Linked DNA regions of Lytechinus pictus. The protein of the gene in region 1 purifies or fractionates together with the protein of each later gene. This does not show direct contact. Links are inferred from orthologs where the notes say so. Each region holds a gene or a part of one and is shown on either strand. Other genes may lie near its edges. The genes, in order: CDK5 regulatory subunit-associated protein 3-like and ubiquitin-fold modifier 1.

Evidence for each region.
Region 2: the proteins of CDK5 regulatory subunit-associated protein 3-like (region 1) and ubiquitin-fold modifier 1 purify together in Homo sapiens (co-immunoprecipitation; 3 studies listed by BioGRID and IntAct, with this or other methods). This does not show direct contact. The link is inferred for Lytechinus pictus from reciprocal best matches to the Homo sapiens genes CDK5RAP3 and UFM1.

What each region holds. Positions count from the first base shown.
Region 1 is NC_087247.1:22,753,651-22,761,639, forward strand, and holds the start of CDK5 regulatory subunit-associated protein 3-like, read left to right. Parts: upstream 1-4,926; 5' UTR 4,927-5,028; coding exon 5,029-5,067; intron 5,068-5,170; coding exon 5,171-5,246; intron 5,247-7,989. UniProt on the Homo sapiens protein: Substrate adapter of E3 ligase complexes mediating ufmylation, the covalent attachment of the ubiquitin-like modifier UFM1 to substrate proteins, and which is involved in various processes, such as ribosome recycling and reticulophagy (also called ER-phagy).
Region 2 is NW_026974140.1:3,195,176-3,203,244, reverse strand, and holds the start of ubiquitin-fold modifier 1, read left to right. Parts: upstream 1-4,947; 5' UTR 4,948-5,618; coding exon 5,619-5,623; intron 5,624-5,719; coding exon 5,720-5,776; intron 5,777-7,690; coding exon 7,691-7,748; intron 7,749-8,069. UniProt on the Homo sapiens protein: Ubiquitin-like modifier which can be covalently attached via an isopeptide bond to lysine residues of substrate proteins as a monomer or a lysine-linked polymer.

The DNA.
Region 1 (7,989 bases):
ATTCACCAAAAGTGTGCACGAAAGCCTTCGTATTTCACTTTTAAAACTCCCAAAAGTGCCCAAATGACAAGCTTGGTCGCTTCGCTGTGTCGCTTTCAACTTGAGAACGTTTACGCGTCGATCTGCTTCCCCCCCCCCCCCTCCTCCGAAAGAAATTCTGTATACGGCCATGCTCTAAAGAGCCTGGCACATTGATTTATGTATACTTCATTTTCATTATTTTTATCTCATTATCATCATGGCCTTACGCAGAATTTTTTCCGGGGGGGGGGTGGGAGGAGCAGGACGCGCGTAAACTTTCTCATAAAAATCTTGAGAAAGCGAAGCGACCAAGCTTGTCATTTGAGCTTGGTCGCGTCGCTGTCTCGCTTTCAAGATTTTTTTGAGAAACTTTACGCGCGTCCTGCTCCTCCCACCCCCCCCCCCCCCCGGAAAAAATTCTGCGTAAGGCCATGTTGATAATGAGATAAAAATAATGAAAATGAAAGTATACATAAATCAATGTGCCAGGCTCTTTAGAGCATGGCCGTATACAGAATTTCTTTCGGAGGAGGGGGGGGGAGCAGACGCGTAAACGTTCTCAAGTTGAAAGCGACACAGCGAAGCGACCAAGCTTGTCATTTGGGCACTTTTCGGAGTTTTAAAAGTGAAATACGAAGGCTTTCGTGCACACTTTTGGTGAATTTTGTGATAATTTTCAATAGAAAAATAAGTTTTTAAAAATTTAGGGGTCATCATGCCCCCGTATTGTCGTTGCGAGCATTTTGGGGCCAGGGTGAAATCGCCCCAAACGCCTCAAACAGACACTCCAAAATGTATTTGAAGTGCATTATTAGAACTGAAACTTATCTCTACACCAGGAAAAATTAACTTAACAAAAAAAGCAACAAGAAATATTTATAAAAAGTAGAAGGGCCTGTACAAGTACACTGATATTTCACTCTCTCAGCTCATATGCACTTGATCGACTTCCATCGAGGATTCGGGCTAAATTCCGCCCGCCACTTCCGGGGACCAACCAACGTAGTATTTCGATGAAGAGCACTCCGTCGATTCACCGGTTGTCCCTACCGTACACGCGCGCCTATGGGGATTGTGAACTGTAGGAAAAATCGTATAAAATTACACTTTTTGATATTTCTACGAAGACGAAGTTATATAGAAAATGAAGAATATTACAATCAGACCATATCCCTAGAAAATTGCTTCAAGAAATGTCATTATGAAGAGGAAATGGACAAAAATTTGTGAAGAAAAATCACGAAAAAGGAAATCGCATCATGAATATTCATATCATGGGCGGTCCCACATTTGCATGTTATAGCGAGTTTTCCATTATTTAATAAATAATGGCATTATTTAATAAATAATGGCATTATTTAATAAATAATGGCATTATTTAATAAATAATGGTTATTTGTATATAAATAATGATTATTTGTATATAATGGCAAACTGTAAAAATTGTTTATAAATAATGATTATTTATAAATAATGGGATATTGAAACAAAATTATTATTTATAAATAATGAAGTAGATATTTCATTATTTAACAAATAATCTTTATTTATAAATAATGGAAAACTCGAACATTAAATAATGATTATTTATAAATAATGAGAATAATGGTGCACTCGAAAAAATTATTTATAAATAATGAAGTAGACGTTTTCATTATTTAACAAATAATCATTATTTATAAATAATGAAAAACAAATAATCATTATTTGTAAATAATGAAAAACAAATAATCATTATTTATAAATAATGAAAAACAAATAATCATTATTTATAAATAATGAAAAACAAATAATCATTATTTATAAATAATGGAATGTCGAACTAATATTATTTACAAATAATGAAGTATTACTTGGAATTATATATAAATAATTAGAAATGATATTTTATATAATAGTAGTTATTTACAAATAAAATGTAAATTATATATAAATAATAGTTATTATTTAATAAATAATGATTATATAACAAATAATTGTTCTATATAATAATGGTACATTCGGCGCCTCATACCTCTATGCCCCCATCCCCTTCAAATCGATCCGTTTTTGTTATTCCGCGATACCATACCGTAGTAATCTCGACGACAAGGGGCAACTCATAGAGATGTATATTAGTAACGCTAGAGGGCGTACTTCGTCAAATCGCTGTGATTACGTGGAGACCGTCCGCCATTGCTCGATAGGTATTCGCAGCCTGCCATGCGCGTACAGTACCTATGGGGCATGTACACGGATGAGCACAGAACATGACAAATTGATGACATATGAGCACGAAAGCATATGGAAAAGCAAAATTGTAAATATTGCACTGGATTAAAGTTCAAATACAACAAAAATCTAGCAAAACTGAGGTCAAAAGGCCTATATAGGCCTATCTATAGCGCATAATATAGGCCGATACAGCTATAATACAGGCAAACGATTTAAAGTCCCAATTGTTTTTGCTTAGGTAAAATTTCGATACATTAATATGACTTCTATTTTCTAATGATTTGGAAGAGATGAATATCAAAAATAACATTTAGGCCTAGGTCCTGATAAATAAATTTAATGTGTTTTAATATGATTTGATGTACATTAACCTAAGAAAATTCATAGGCCATATCACAGTGTCTGATGCATCTGAGACGCTGTATCGAAAAAAAAACCACGATTGTATTTTTATAGTTCATAGTTTCCTAATTACTATTATGCTGATTGCTGATAATTTATTTCTTCACTTTAGATAATTGTTATAATTCATTTTCCATATATATCTACACAATAGGGCCTATAATAACTCGATCCCTTTTCCCCATGTCTTACACGCTGATGTAAACCAACATCACAAAAACTCGCGAATCATAAAATGACTTTTTATTGATATTTGGAGATGATTTACGCATTGATTCAGTTAAAAATTGATGATTTAGATTTCCTTTGCTGGCAACCATCCCATCATATTTATAAATATGTATATAAAAGTATACTTTCTTACTTGCGATCAATGTATAGAAAAGTTTGTTGACAGCAAAATTTGCATATCAAATGCGCGCATGCAGTCGTACAATTTTGCAATGTACAGGAGGCCTAATGGGGGGTTGGATGTTTATGTACAGTGTTATTGCCTTGCAAACATTTTAAAACTTCGGAGAGTAAACAAATCACAATGCGCAAAACAATTTTACTTTGATTTTCTGGAAAGTATAGACTTGATTCTCCCCGGCTGAAAATATGCTGATCGGCAAACTGGCTGAAATATTTTGTTTATCACCGTTGTTTCTGATCCTATAATGATTGGACCAATATCATGTGAACAAATCAAGGATAGAATAATAAGGAGAGGAAGAAGGGGGAGAAGGAGAGAAGAAAAGGGGCGGGATTATGATATATAATTTGTATTATACTATAAAGAATATTATTACTACTGCAAGAGTGTATAAAACTAATATCATGAAAGACATCAATGCAAACTTATCATAATTATGAAAACGGTTGCAAAATTGTGAGTACTAAAAACAAACATAATTATGAAACAATAATATTGCAAAAGTGACAATACTTGGAATAAGATATTAAAAATCCTAATTTAATCTCAAATTTGATACCTGCCTTGAAATTGTGTTAATTAACTGTGTCTGTGTCGCTTAAATAAATGAACTTTATGGCAAATATTTGTAAGCACTGGCACCGGCCTAACATATAAACAGATAAACACGCGTTTTGAATATCCAGTTTTGTTTTTCATTTTAAAAGTATAACTGAATTTGATTTTCTAGTTTTCTCCCTTTAATGTCATTTGCTGGCCTATGGACCTGAGTTTGGTTATTCGATCAGTTTTTTTAAAATAAGATTTCCATGGATGAACAAAATTATTATATTATGTTACGGCGTCGCGGAATGATTTTGAAAGTGATGGGGTGTATAAAATCACAATCATTTATTATGTGTAATGTTCATTTTCATTTCAGGGAGGGGTCCGGTCGCGCCCCCTGTATTTTATTTTGATCAGTATGTTAAAGCGAATTTGCTTAGGTGTGTTTGTTATTTTAATTGCACACACGGCCCCTAAAAAGCGAATTAAAACAAATCTAACTTAAAGTGAAGGGAATTAAAACTGTCATTTTTGAAAAGTTTGAACAAATTAGGCTATATTCTCGACATTTTAAATCAATATTTTATTTTCGGGCCATATAGGCCTGCAGATTTTGGAGAATTTATTATGTTCCTATAAGAACAAAATCAGCACGTTCACCAAATAACACAAATTTCAACATTGATGGTGTAACGGGAGGCTCACCAAGAACAATAATGAGATGCCCTTTAATAGCGCTTGTAGATCAAAACACTAACTTATACAGAATTATTGTACAACTTAATATATAAAAATGATAGGCCTATATTTCATACAAATTAAAGCAAGTTACATATCATGTAGGCCTATATAGAAATTACAAAATTATATCCAACATAAACATAGAATCAAAGGACGTATATGTGGGAAGGATGGAAGGAGGACGATGCAGTTAAAGGTAGGGAAATCCAGAGAAGGGCTAATTCACTGCAGTCTTTTGAATTAATTGTCAATCTTTCTATTAATGTCCGCTGTATGTTTTTATTTTTATATGATTGTTTATATGATAGTATATCAACATTGTTATCTATTACAGGCCTATAAACGGACAGGTAAATGCAAATTATTTAGAATTTCATCCCGAGAAATCAGGTTTTTAAAATGCCAAATTAATAGCATAATCCCCATGTAATCACTCTAATAGTGTATTGAGATGCAATTTGTCATTCATATTTTCGATTTTTATGAGGTTGTGTTCTTTTCTTCAAGATTAAAGGCCGGAGACGGCACCCCTTTTCACAGCGTTACAACGCACGAGCTATGGGTACATCCGGGTACTTTTGCGAATCTATACCTATCGAGCAATGGCCGCCACGCTCCACACAATCACAGACGTTAAGTACGCGCGCCTATGGCGACTCCGCACTCTAGCGTAGTTAGTATACATCTCTATGGGGCCGGGGCAACTCGACATATGCGACAAAATGCAGGTGAATATAAAAATGTTTGTAATTGTACCTTTATTGCTCGTGTCTTAGAATTTATTCTATGTAAACAAAGTCACTAATCACTTGGTTATAATTTTCTATGCAGGGAACAAAGAATGGAGAGTTGACGGCCCAACAAATCGAAAATCTCCCGATAGATATCAGCTCCACTAAACTACTTGGTATGTATCAGTCCCATGTGTGCATTTCTGTGGTGTGGGATAAAACAAGTCTCTTGAATATTTAAAACGATATCTAAAACAAGTCTCTTAAATATATTTCATATTGTGATTAGGATGGTATACAACCGTTGCAAGGCTATAGTTACCTTATTCTTACCATATATAAAAGACTTTGACACTGACCCTGCTGACTAAGATACTGCTGACATAAAATAGACAGTCATTTGGTAGGCCTATTTACTATTTTAATATTAAACAGCTGGCATGGCAGCCGTCTGTTTCGAGGAGTTTTTTAACATTATTTTTTTTATATTTCTCCTTGTATACAGACGGCTCACTATCGTGGGCCACCATAAGGGGGTTAACAATGCAAAATCCGCCTGTCGGGGCTCATCAATTTTTGTCTTTATTTCATAAAAATGTATAAAAAGAACTTGTCCAAAATAAAGATTATTATTCCGTTTTGGCCTGAAATGCACCAAAACAGGAAAAAATAAACTTAAAAGGGGAAAAAACAGTGGCTTACTTCGGAACAACCAACGTAACAGAAACCGAAGCTTTTGGTCTATTCTGACATCAGCGTTGAAGATTTAGGGAGCCATTGCCCATATTGAAAAAAATTTGAGAGTCATTTTTGTCTCGCCTGCATAGCAGAGTGAGACTATAGGCGCCGCTTTTCCGACGGCGACGGCGGCGGCGGCGTCAACACCAAATCTTAACCTGAGGTTAAGTTTTTGAAATGACAGCATAACTTAGAAAGTATATGGACCTAGTTCATGAAACTTGGCCATAAGGTTAATCAAGTATTACTGAACATCCTGCCTGAGTTTCATGTCACATGATTAAGGTCAAAGGTCATTTAGGGTCAATGAACTTAGACCATATTGGGGGAATCAACATCAAAATCTTAACCTAAGGTTAAGTTTTTGAAATGTCATCATAACTTAGAAAATATACGGACCTAGTTCATGAAACTTATACATAAATTTAATCAAGTATCACTGAACATCCTGCATGAGTTTCACGTCACATGACCAAGGTCAAAGGTCATTTAGGGTCAATGAACTTTGGCCGAATTGGGGGTATCTGTTGAATTACCATCATAACTTTGAAAGTTTATGGATCTGATTCATGAAACTTGGACATAATAGTAATCAAGTATTACTGAACATCCTGTGCAAGTTTCAGGTCACATGATCAAGGTCAAAGGTCATTTAGGGTCAATGAACTTTGGCCAAATTGGGGTATTTGTTGAATTACAGCCATAAATTTGAAAGTGTGTTGGTCTAGTTCATAAAACTTGGACATAAGAGTAATCAAGTATCACTGAACATCCTGTGCGAGTTTCAGGTCATATGATCAAGGTCAAAGGTCATGTAAGGTCAAAGAACTTTGGCCACGTTGGGGGTATTTGTTGAATTGCCATCATATCTCTATAAGTGTATTGGTCTAGTTCATAAAACATGGAAATACGAGTAACCAAGTATCACTGAACATCTTGTGCGAGTTATAGTAGTTTTCAAAATCAGCACTGCTGCTATATTGAATCGCGTGATGCAGGTGAGACGGCCAGAGGCATTCCACTTGTTCATTTTACTGGAGCCATTTTCAGTTTTTGAGAGCCATTCTTTTTTTCATGATTCAACGCATGGTTTACCATCGCAGTTTGTCCTGCTTGTTTACAAATTCATTTAATGTTTAACATTGTTTATTTAATTGACATTTACTTTTCTTCATTGTTATTGACTGTTAATGATGATTTATATTTAATTTTAAATTACAGGATCCGCGCCATATTTCCAGAGCACCCGATGGCTTAGTTCAGATTTAAAAAGTGGGGTCACCAAAAAATATGCTAAGATAAAAAAATCTGTGATTTTGTTCAGAGTTCACAAACTTTATTTTCTAGCAAATTTAGGATGGTATCTTCAAAAACAATAAAAAGCAACTTATTCACCATCAAATTATGGCAAGACAGGTGCCACGTAGCGTTGTGAAAAATACTACCCGGAGATATCGGAGTGTCGGTGAACTGGATACGCATTTTCTGAAGCGCCGACCCCGTGATTCTAAAAAGTCCACTCAGTTACACGTCAGAAAGCGACAATGCATAAAAACTGCAGCTGTGCTGGCCTGGCTTTCTGGCTACTATGCAGGCGTGGATGGGAGACTTGGATGGGTGCGGACGGGAGCAATTTTCATGTTGGGAGTCGCTCCATACTTGGCAGTTTTAGGCAGTGGCAAGAATGATTTCAAAAGCATGCGAGAGCGAAATCGCTTGTCGCTACCGTCTATTTTCAATGCTGACTGACATTGAAAAGTGCCTCTCTCTGTCCTCTGACTGTCCATATTTCAAAAGAATGAAGTTCTCAATGAATGACTTGATCTTGGAAATTCACCCTGCTGAAAAGTTTTGCTTGAAAATACCAGGAAAAAAAGTATGGGAAGGGTTCCTTTTGCGACATCCTCCCAAAGTGAAAAAATATTAGTTAGTGTGGCTATCGCAAAAGGAACTCTTTCCAAAAGTATTGATGAAAGTTTGAGGAAAATGCATGAGGCCTAAAGATAAAAAAGTCAATAGAATTTCTAGTTTTTGATTTGTAACATCATATACGAGCAGTTTCCCTTATGTAGATCATGTAGATCTAATGTAAAATTTATAAATTCAATTTTTTAATGGTTCTTGAAGATTAATTTTTTTCTTTCAGGAACTGTTGTGAAATGATAATTTGTCTGTTTATAA
Region 2 (8,069 bases), on another chromosome or scaffold:
GCATGTAAGTAAAGTAGTAGCACTTTATGCATATTACCAGAATTAGATAAAAAAATAGATATAATAATGACTTGCAAAACTATGCGATAATTTTTCAATTTCAGTGAAAGCCAACGTGTTTCTGGGTTCATAGTTATGGAAACAACCAAGGATTTTATTTGAGTTATGTACTGAAATAAGCTACTTATGTTCAAAGTAAACTGTAAATAATAGTAATACTAATGAATTTAAACTAATTTTGTATTGTGACAATTTTTAAACAGTATTATATAGGTGACTGTAAAAGTGGCATGCAATTTTAATAATGATTCCTGAATTATGTTTTCCAGGTTTTCCAGCTGACAGACCATGTTGACGGATAAAAAGCTTCATGTCATTGAAAAGGGATTTCAAGGATGGATTGAGAAAGAAGGTTGCAAGTACCCACCCCCCTGGTTTATGTTGCAATAATCTTTGTCATAAAGCTTGTGGACTGCCCAAAATTAATATATTTGCAATATACATAATATCATACTCTCACTCACCACCAGGGACCTGTTCATAAAGGGTTATAACTATTTTAACTTTGCCAATATTTTACCTATCATGATAACCTTGATTGTGATTGGCTGCTAACCATGTTAGTGGTACAAAGTTGGAATAGTTGTAGACCTATCTTTTTATGAAACAGGCCCCAGATTGGCCTACCAAATTGATCTGGGAAGGAAAACACTTAAATAAAATTTTGACAAGACAAAATTAGTATTTATTGAAGTTTATTTTAACTGTCTACAAACGTTTATTACTGATTGTATACTACATCAACATAATTGTGTTGCTATAGGAACAACTGTTCAACAAGGAAATTTATTTGAAATTGTAAATCTCGAAACGAAAAAAATTGAAGTTTGCGTACAATTTTGTCCACCTTTGGTGTTTTCAATGATTCTCAAAATATGTTGCACCGTTTTAAAAATGAAATGCCTTGCATTTATTTTCAATTTTTCATAAAGTAACAATTTCAAATGATTAAAAAATGAGGTGTAACCATAGCAACCACTATATATGTTCCAGAGAGAGAGAGAGTATTGTTTGGAGACAATATGTTTCCTGTGTGGCATATTACTTTCTGACATGAAATATACTAGTACATTCCTTTCTTGATTATAAATACAATTTAGCATTGGTATTTATCGCTAATTAATTCAGGGATTGCCATGGAATCATGAATTATTATCATTCCAATGAACCCATGCAGAAAACTTAATTTGTGTTCAAAGTAAAATGAGATGTTAAAACCATATGCATGGAAGTTAAGTTCTTTTTCTTGCATTTTCCAACATTACCTTTTCACACTCTGCTATTTGTTTAGCAAATTAGATGTTATTTGGTTGCCATGGTAATATCCAAAGAAGATACATGTATATAATACATGTTCAACACTCAAATACGGTGAAAAAGGTTTATTTTACAATTTTTCTCAAATCTATTCTATTTTGATAAAAAACAGTTACCATGGCAACAGGCAATGTAACATTGGTATTCATTGTTGAAACATTGGTTACCATGGCAACAGCAATCTTAGCATACCATTGAAGTCATACTGAATACTTATTTTGCATTTAAAATTGAATAGTGGGTCAAACTCACAGATGTATATCTAATTTAGTGATTTTCAACGATTATCTTTTCCAACCATCTTTTTATTTTTGTTTATCTAATTATGTGTTATTTGGTTGCCATGGCAATGGTGCAAGATGGTATTAATATATTTAGCAACAAGCACCTACTTTCAGCACCCTCACATTAGGGAAAATTCAAAAGAATTCATCATATTTTACATCTTTACTAATTTTTATCTTTTTTGGGGGGTAAAAAGAGGCCGTTACCATGGTAACAGGAAATCTGAACTATTTCAATGGCCTTAAATGTTTGTAAATTCTATTCTTATTGAATAAGAAACTTGAAATTAACCAAATGGGTAATTTTGCCATGTTTATCTACCGTTTACAGGGGAATACATGCTATTTTTGAGAAATTAATCCGTTGCCATGGCAACAGTCGAAGATGGCATTTATAAATTTGGCAACAAGCAGATTCATGTTCAGCACCCTCAAAATAGGGGAAATAGCACAAAAAATCAGATTCTACAGAAAATTTTTGGTAACCTTTAATATTATGACGAGGAGCTGTGTACTATATACAGCATGGGCGAAAATCATTTTTGAAAAGCACCCTAAACGGGATATCAGGAGCGGTAGTTTTGTTACCCTAAATGGGAAAAATCACTTTAAATCACCCTACAGGATCAGTAGTTTTGATACCCTAAAACCGGGACCCTAATCGGGATTTTTTTTTTCAATATTCAATTTCATACCGGCCCTTGACGGATAGTTTATCTTGAGTGTTATTTAGTCAAGCAATTGCTCGTTCGCTACGCTTTCTCGCGTATGAAGAAGTTGAACGCCTGGAGAGGGTAACAACACAGACCTCCTCATTGCCAGTCTTGTCCCCCTTATCATGGAACTAAATCACTGGTCCAAGGTGTTATACATGTTGATGTGATTTTATTTCGCTCGGTCGATCGCTACGCCCCTCGCATAACAACTGAAACTAATGGGCCAATTTTCCTTGTATTCAAATGACCAACGTCACGCATTTATCTAGAAGACCCCCCCAAAAAAATGAAAGAGAGGAAGAAGAACAACAACAACAAGATGAAGGAAGAGGAGAAGAAGAATTAAGAAGATGAAGAAGAAACAGGAAACGCAACCAACATCTGGGATTTGTTGATGTTTTCGAGTAGCCTAATCACTTTGAATATTTTTTTATTCTGTCATTTTCCAGCATTCTCTGGAAGTCATTTCAATCAGACTCTAAAAAGGAGTTTAATGTGATTGACTTGTATAATTTTAACCAAAGATCAGTGTAAATTGTTATTGTTGCAAATCTAAGCAATATAGTGTCCCTCTCCCGATTTTTAAAGCCTTGTATTTTTTTACCAAAAAAAATGAAAAGGTATAATCCCAGTTATTCAAAGCAATGCAAATATATCAAATTCAACACAAAACACTGTGAAAACAAAATCAATTTGGTGAATTTTGATTGGTCTGTTAGATGACACGTGCACAGCAGGGATGTGGGACCAATTTTTTTCCTGGGGTGCTGAAAGCATGACAATGTCTATTGCATGTCAGAATTCTCTGGCAAGCAAAAAAAAAATCAGCAATTTTCGGCCGTGACTCTTCACTCTTCCTCTGAAATTCACGGTTGTCCTGAAAACAGATAATGTCGGGTTTATCAGCAATTTTGGGGGCAGTTTTGGGTCTGAAACGGTCACTCTTTTAGGCTACTATGTTTTATATATCTTTTACATGTTTTAGTAGCCCCCATAATATAATCACACCACTGGCGTAAATCCCGGGGGGATGGGGGGGGGGAAATATCCCCTCACTTTTCGAGGAGGGGGGGGGGTGGCCTGTACAAACATCCCCCCCCCCCACTTTTTACGAAAGAAATGAAAAAAAAATCACAAGAGATAATTGTTTTACTGGTGAAAATTCTTCCTAAAATACCGCTTAACAAATAAAACAATATTATTGAATCATAAAAGGCAAATAAAGAGCCATTTCACCATTTCCAAACGAAATACCTTTGTCCTTATTATAACATTTAAGAGAAATCCCTGTTTCTTCCAATTCATCAATGTTGGGGTCTTTGGGAAGGGATTACGATGGAATGTCAAAAAATTTTGAATGTAATCTCTAATAAAACCATTAAACCATCATGGGGTAAAAAAGATAATAATATTGGAGGGGTATTTGCCATATGGACATACAGTGGCGTAACTACGGGGGGCATGGGGGCACATCCCCCCCCCCCCCCCCATCGGCTGACAAAAAAACGGGGAAAGGGGGAAAGGAGAAAAAAGGGAGAAATGAAGAGAAACGTAGTGGGAAAGAAGAAAATATTCATTATAATGTTATATTATATTATAATTATGTTATGTTACATTACAACTTTATAAAACATAATTTGCCCAGGGCCTACGTCTTTTTTTATTATTCCTGGTGCTCGCATTGTCTGTTTAACGAGATATATAATCCTGTTGTACTAAAACATCCCGTTTTCAAGTCAATATAAACCAAATATATTCCTAGCACTTGAGTTATCATTGTTTTATGTAGTGACATATGCTTCTTCTTCATGACTCAAAAGTGATTGCCCCATGTTAAGGTCTTCTTATATATGAAACATTTCCTGTACGTGATTACATTCGCACTTGTGGATTGGTGAGATATGTCTGCTCTTCATGAATTCCTAAAATCAGTCCTTAAAATGTCCCTTCTGAGATGAATATCAAAAATTTTCAGCTCGCGCTTCGCGCTCGCATCATTTGGTTAATGAAATACGTATGGTCCTAGTTAATTCCTACAAAGAAACCTTAGAATGCCCCACTTCAGGTCTGAATTATCTAAGTTTTCAGCTCGCGCTTCGCGCGCGCATTGTTTAGCGAGACAGGTACCTATCATGATTACACAAATTTGATTATATTGTCCCTTTTTAGGTGTGAATATAAAAAATTTCAGCTCGCGCTTCGCGCTCGCATTATTTGATCAGTGAGATACATATCCGTTTAATGACATTGTCCTTAAAATGTCTCTATTAGGTCAGTATAACTGGCAACTTAGCGCGCTTCGCGCACTCACTTAGTGATTCAAAAATTTTACTGGTGCCCCCCTCCCCAATGCCGTGACCCACGGTACGCCACTGTGGACATATCAATGACAATTCCTTGCATATCTAAAAACATGATTGCAAAAAAATGCCAAAATATTTCAGTCATCCCCCCCACCCATCAACACGGATTTACGCCAGTGAATCACACTATGTTCCGCTATCTGGACACATCAATTGGCGGATGTACCATGTACTGTTGGTGACGAATTGTGTCCAGCCTGGCGTTCCATAATTTAGCGCCGCGTTATGTTCGCAATGAATGGTGTAGGATCTTGTCAACTGATCATCTCTTCTACAAGATGTCGACATGATGAGATCCGAGATCTTGTCATCTGATCATCTCTTCTAAAAAATGTCGACATGATGAGATCCGGGATCTTGACATCTGATCATCTCTTCAAAAGGATGTTGACATGATGAGATCCGGGATCTTGTCAACTGATCATCTCTTCTGAAAGATGTCGACATGACGATATCCGGGATCTTGTCATCTTATCGTCTCTTCTAAAAGATGTTGACATGATGAGATCCGGGATCTTGTCATCTCATCATCTCTTCTAAAAGACGTTGACATGATGAGATCCGGGATCTTGTCATCTCATCATCTCTTCTAAAAGATGTTGACACGATGAGATCCGGGATCTTGTCATCTCATCATCTCTTCTAAAAGATGTTGACATGATGAGATCCGGGATCTCACCATCTGATCTTTTGCTATCATGATGTCGACTTCCCAAGATAATTATCTCAACATCTCGGTGGCACTTTTAAGCTTCCATAGTACACTGCATGCCGTCAGAGTGGTCAAACGCATGCCGTGTATTACTGCCCTCTACGTTCGTTGAGAAATAATACAGATCTAGAGCTTTCACAGCGCAGACTTTGCAGAGACTTTTAGAATGGCGTAAGTTCTTGTTTATTTCGTATTTGTGTTCATCACTTTATCAATTTACATAATTGAAATGATTATTCCGTAATTTCGTGTTATCTCTTTCTGTAGGTCGAAAGTGACTTTCAAGATAACGCTCACTTCGGATCCAAAACTTCCCTTCAAAGTGTGAGTAGTATACCGTATGTTCAGTTATCTTTTGTAACCATTGTCCCATATAGTCATAGTGATGTAGGCTACCTCGAGCGAAGTTCGTGCAGGCTCCAGACTCCAGAGAACAAGGTTAAATCAAAACCTTGTTCATAGAATGAGTGCATGCGATTGTGCAGGTCAAACAGCATAAATATTATATTATATTGGATGGTTCAGAAAATACCAGAAATATTCTAAGAGTTTGGGAAAATATTCCACTGATTCGTGGAATAAATCCTCACCTTTCACATTATTATGATGGTGGGCCCTAAGTCTGCGCACCTAACAATTTGAGTTAAGATTTAACATGAATTTCTTCTTATTTCACAAAATCTTTTGGATAATAATGTTCCTTATATTATTGAGAGTAAGTATACCAAATTTCTCATTAAAAAATGAAAGAAAATATATGATTTTCTTGAAAAAACCTTGGGCAATCATTTTCAGATTGAAAAAAAAAATGGTACCCCATGTCTGCGCACTCATTCACTTTGCACACGATTCGGAGATTTTTATGAGAAAGGCTGTATTTTGAGGCCGTCACATGAAATGCCCTGAATTCATTATTTTTTCACCATTTTGAGTCGGATTTTTTTATGAATACCTGTCTATGTATTGCATGTGTAAAGTTCATGCTCGTTGCGTATCTTCTTTTACTAGAATCGCGCAGATACGCGGGTGCGCAGACTTGGGAGACCGCGCAGACATGGGGGAACTGACCATACTATTAGTACCTAGGCCTAGGCCTATTAGCATTATTTTACGGTCAAATGAAATTTATCGATAATTTGGGGGTTTAATTATTGGACATCGTTTTCAGCAGTCAACGATTTTTGCCTATCTGCCATTTTGGATTTCAAGACCTCGATATCGTGCTGTTACATTTTCTTGCGCCCTTTCTCACCCATGAGAATAATTATTTAGGCCCCCTACGTGAAATCAAACTGGGTGAGGTAGCTCACTCACCCTTTTCCCCATAGGCATAGTAGGGTGAGCTACCTCACCCTGTTTGATTTCACGTAAATAATTATTATAATGGGCAAGAAAGGGCACAGGAATTAAGAAAGACTACTTTTTAATATAATCAGGTTAACAACTTTTTGAAATATATGCTGGAAAATACAAAATTTTTATGACAAACACACAGTCAGGCCTGGCCAGGTTCTTTGATCGTTCGTCGTCAAGAAATTGTTATAAGTTAGAGTTACCTGCTTTGTCACATAATTTCATGAACAATGTCAATGCATCAATCAATCAAAAACAAAAGATAAAGTTAGAATTTTTGCACAAGAAAATGGGAATGTATCATGAATAATAATAATGATAATATGGTCCATATAGCGCAGCTACCGTACTACAATTGCATATACTCTACGGCGCTTGATACTTGGTATCATATTATTACCCCGGCTGTAGCTGAGCCACCATACAGGTGCTAAAGCATTCAAGGAATAAATCCTACTGGGTAGCCATTCACCTCACCTGGGTCGAATGCAGCACAGTGTGGGTAAATTTCTTGCTAGAGGAAAACACCATGGTTGGGACTCAAACCCATGTCCCTCTGATTGACAGACGGGAGTCGTAACCACTAGACCACAATGCGCCCCCCCTGATGATGCATCTGGTCAGTCACTTTCACTGAAAATTTTGGTGTGAGCCAATCAGATGCAAGTATTTTCAGTAGCTTGTGAAAAGAAGGCAGTGAAAATCATTAATTTGTTTCATGAAATGTTCCCAAGATCCTCAGTCATTAATAATGTCATCAATAGCTTTATAAAACACCACCATGATATTTTTACATTTTCAGTTTCATTTTCCATTTCAAGTCAATTTTTATTTGTAGTCTGGCCATTACATTTAAAAGTTTGAAATTGTTTTATTTTCCTGCAGACTAAGTGTACCAGAAGCAACACCATTTACAGCTGTACTCAAGTTTGCTGCTGAAGAGGTATGTGATTTGATTGTCTTAGTCACTTTCAGTATAGATGAATTTATAAATCTACTTTAAAAGGGAATCCAACCTTGGTCATAAAATGTTGTCTGAGAGAGGAGAAAAATAGGAAAAACAGAATGGTGAAAGTTTGAAAGAAATCGGACAAGCAATAAGAAAGTTATGACTGTTTCATAATTGAGATCTCTAAAGACCCTAAAACTGTAAATTTCAAATCACATAGGCCATGTGGTTTTTTCTCAAGTACCTATTCCCATAGGGCAGTAATCCAAATATAACCAATGTAGCACAATGCTTTATATCCTCATGAAACTTTTG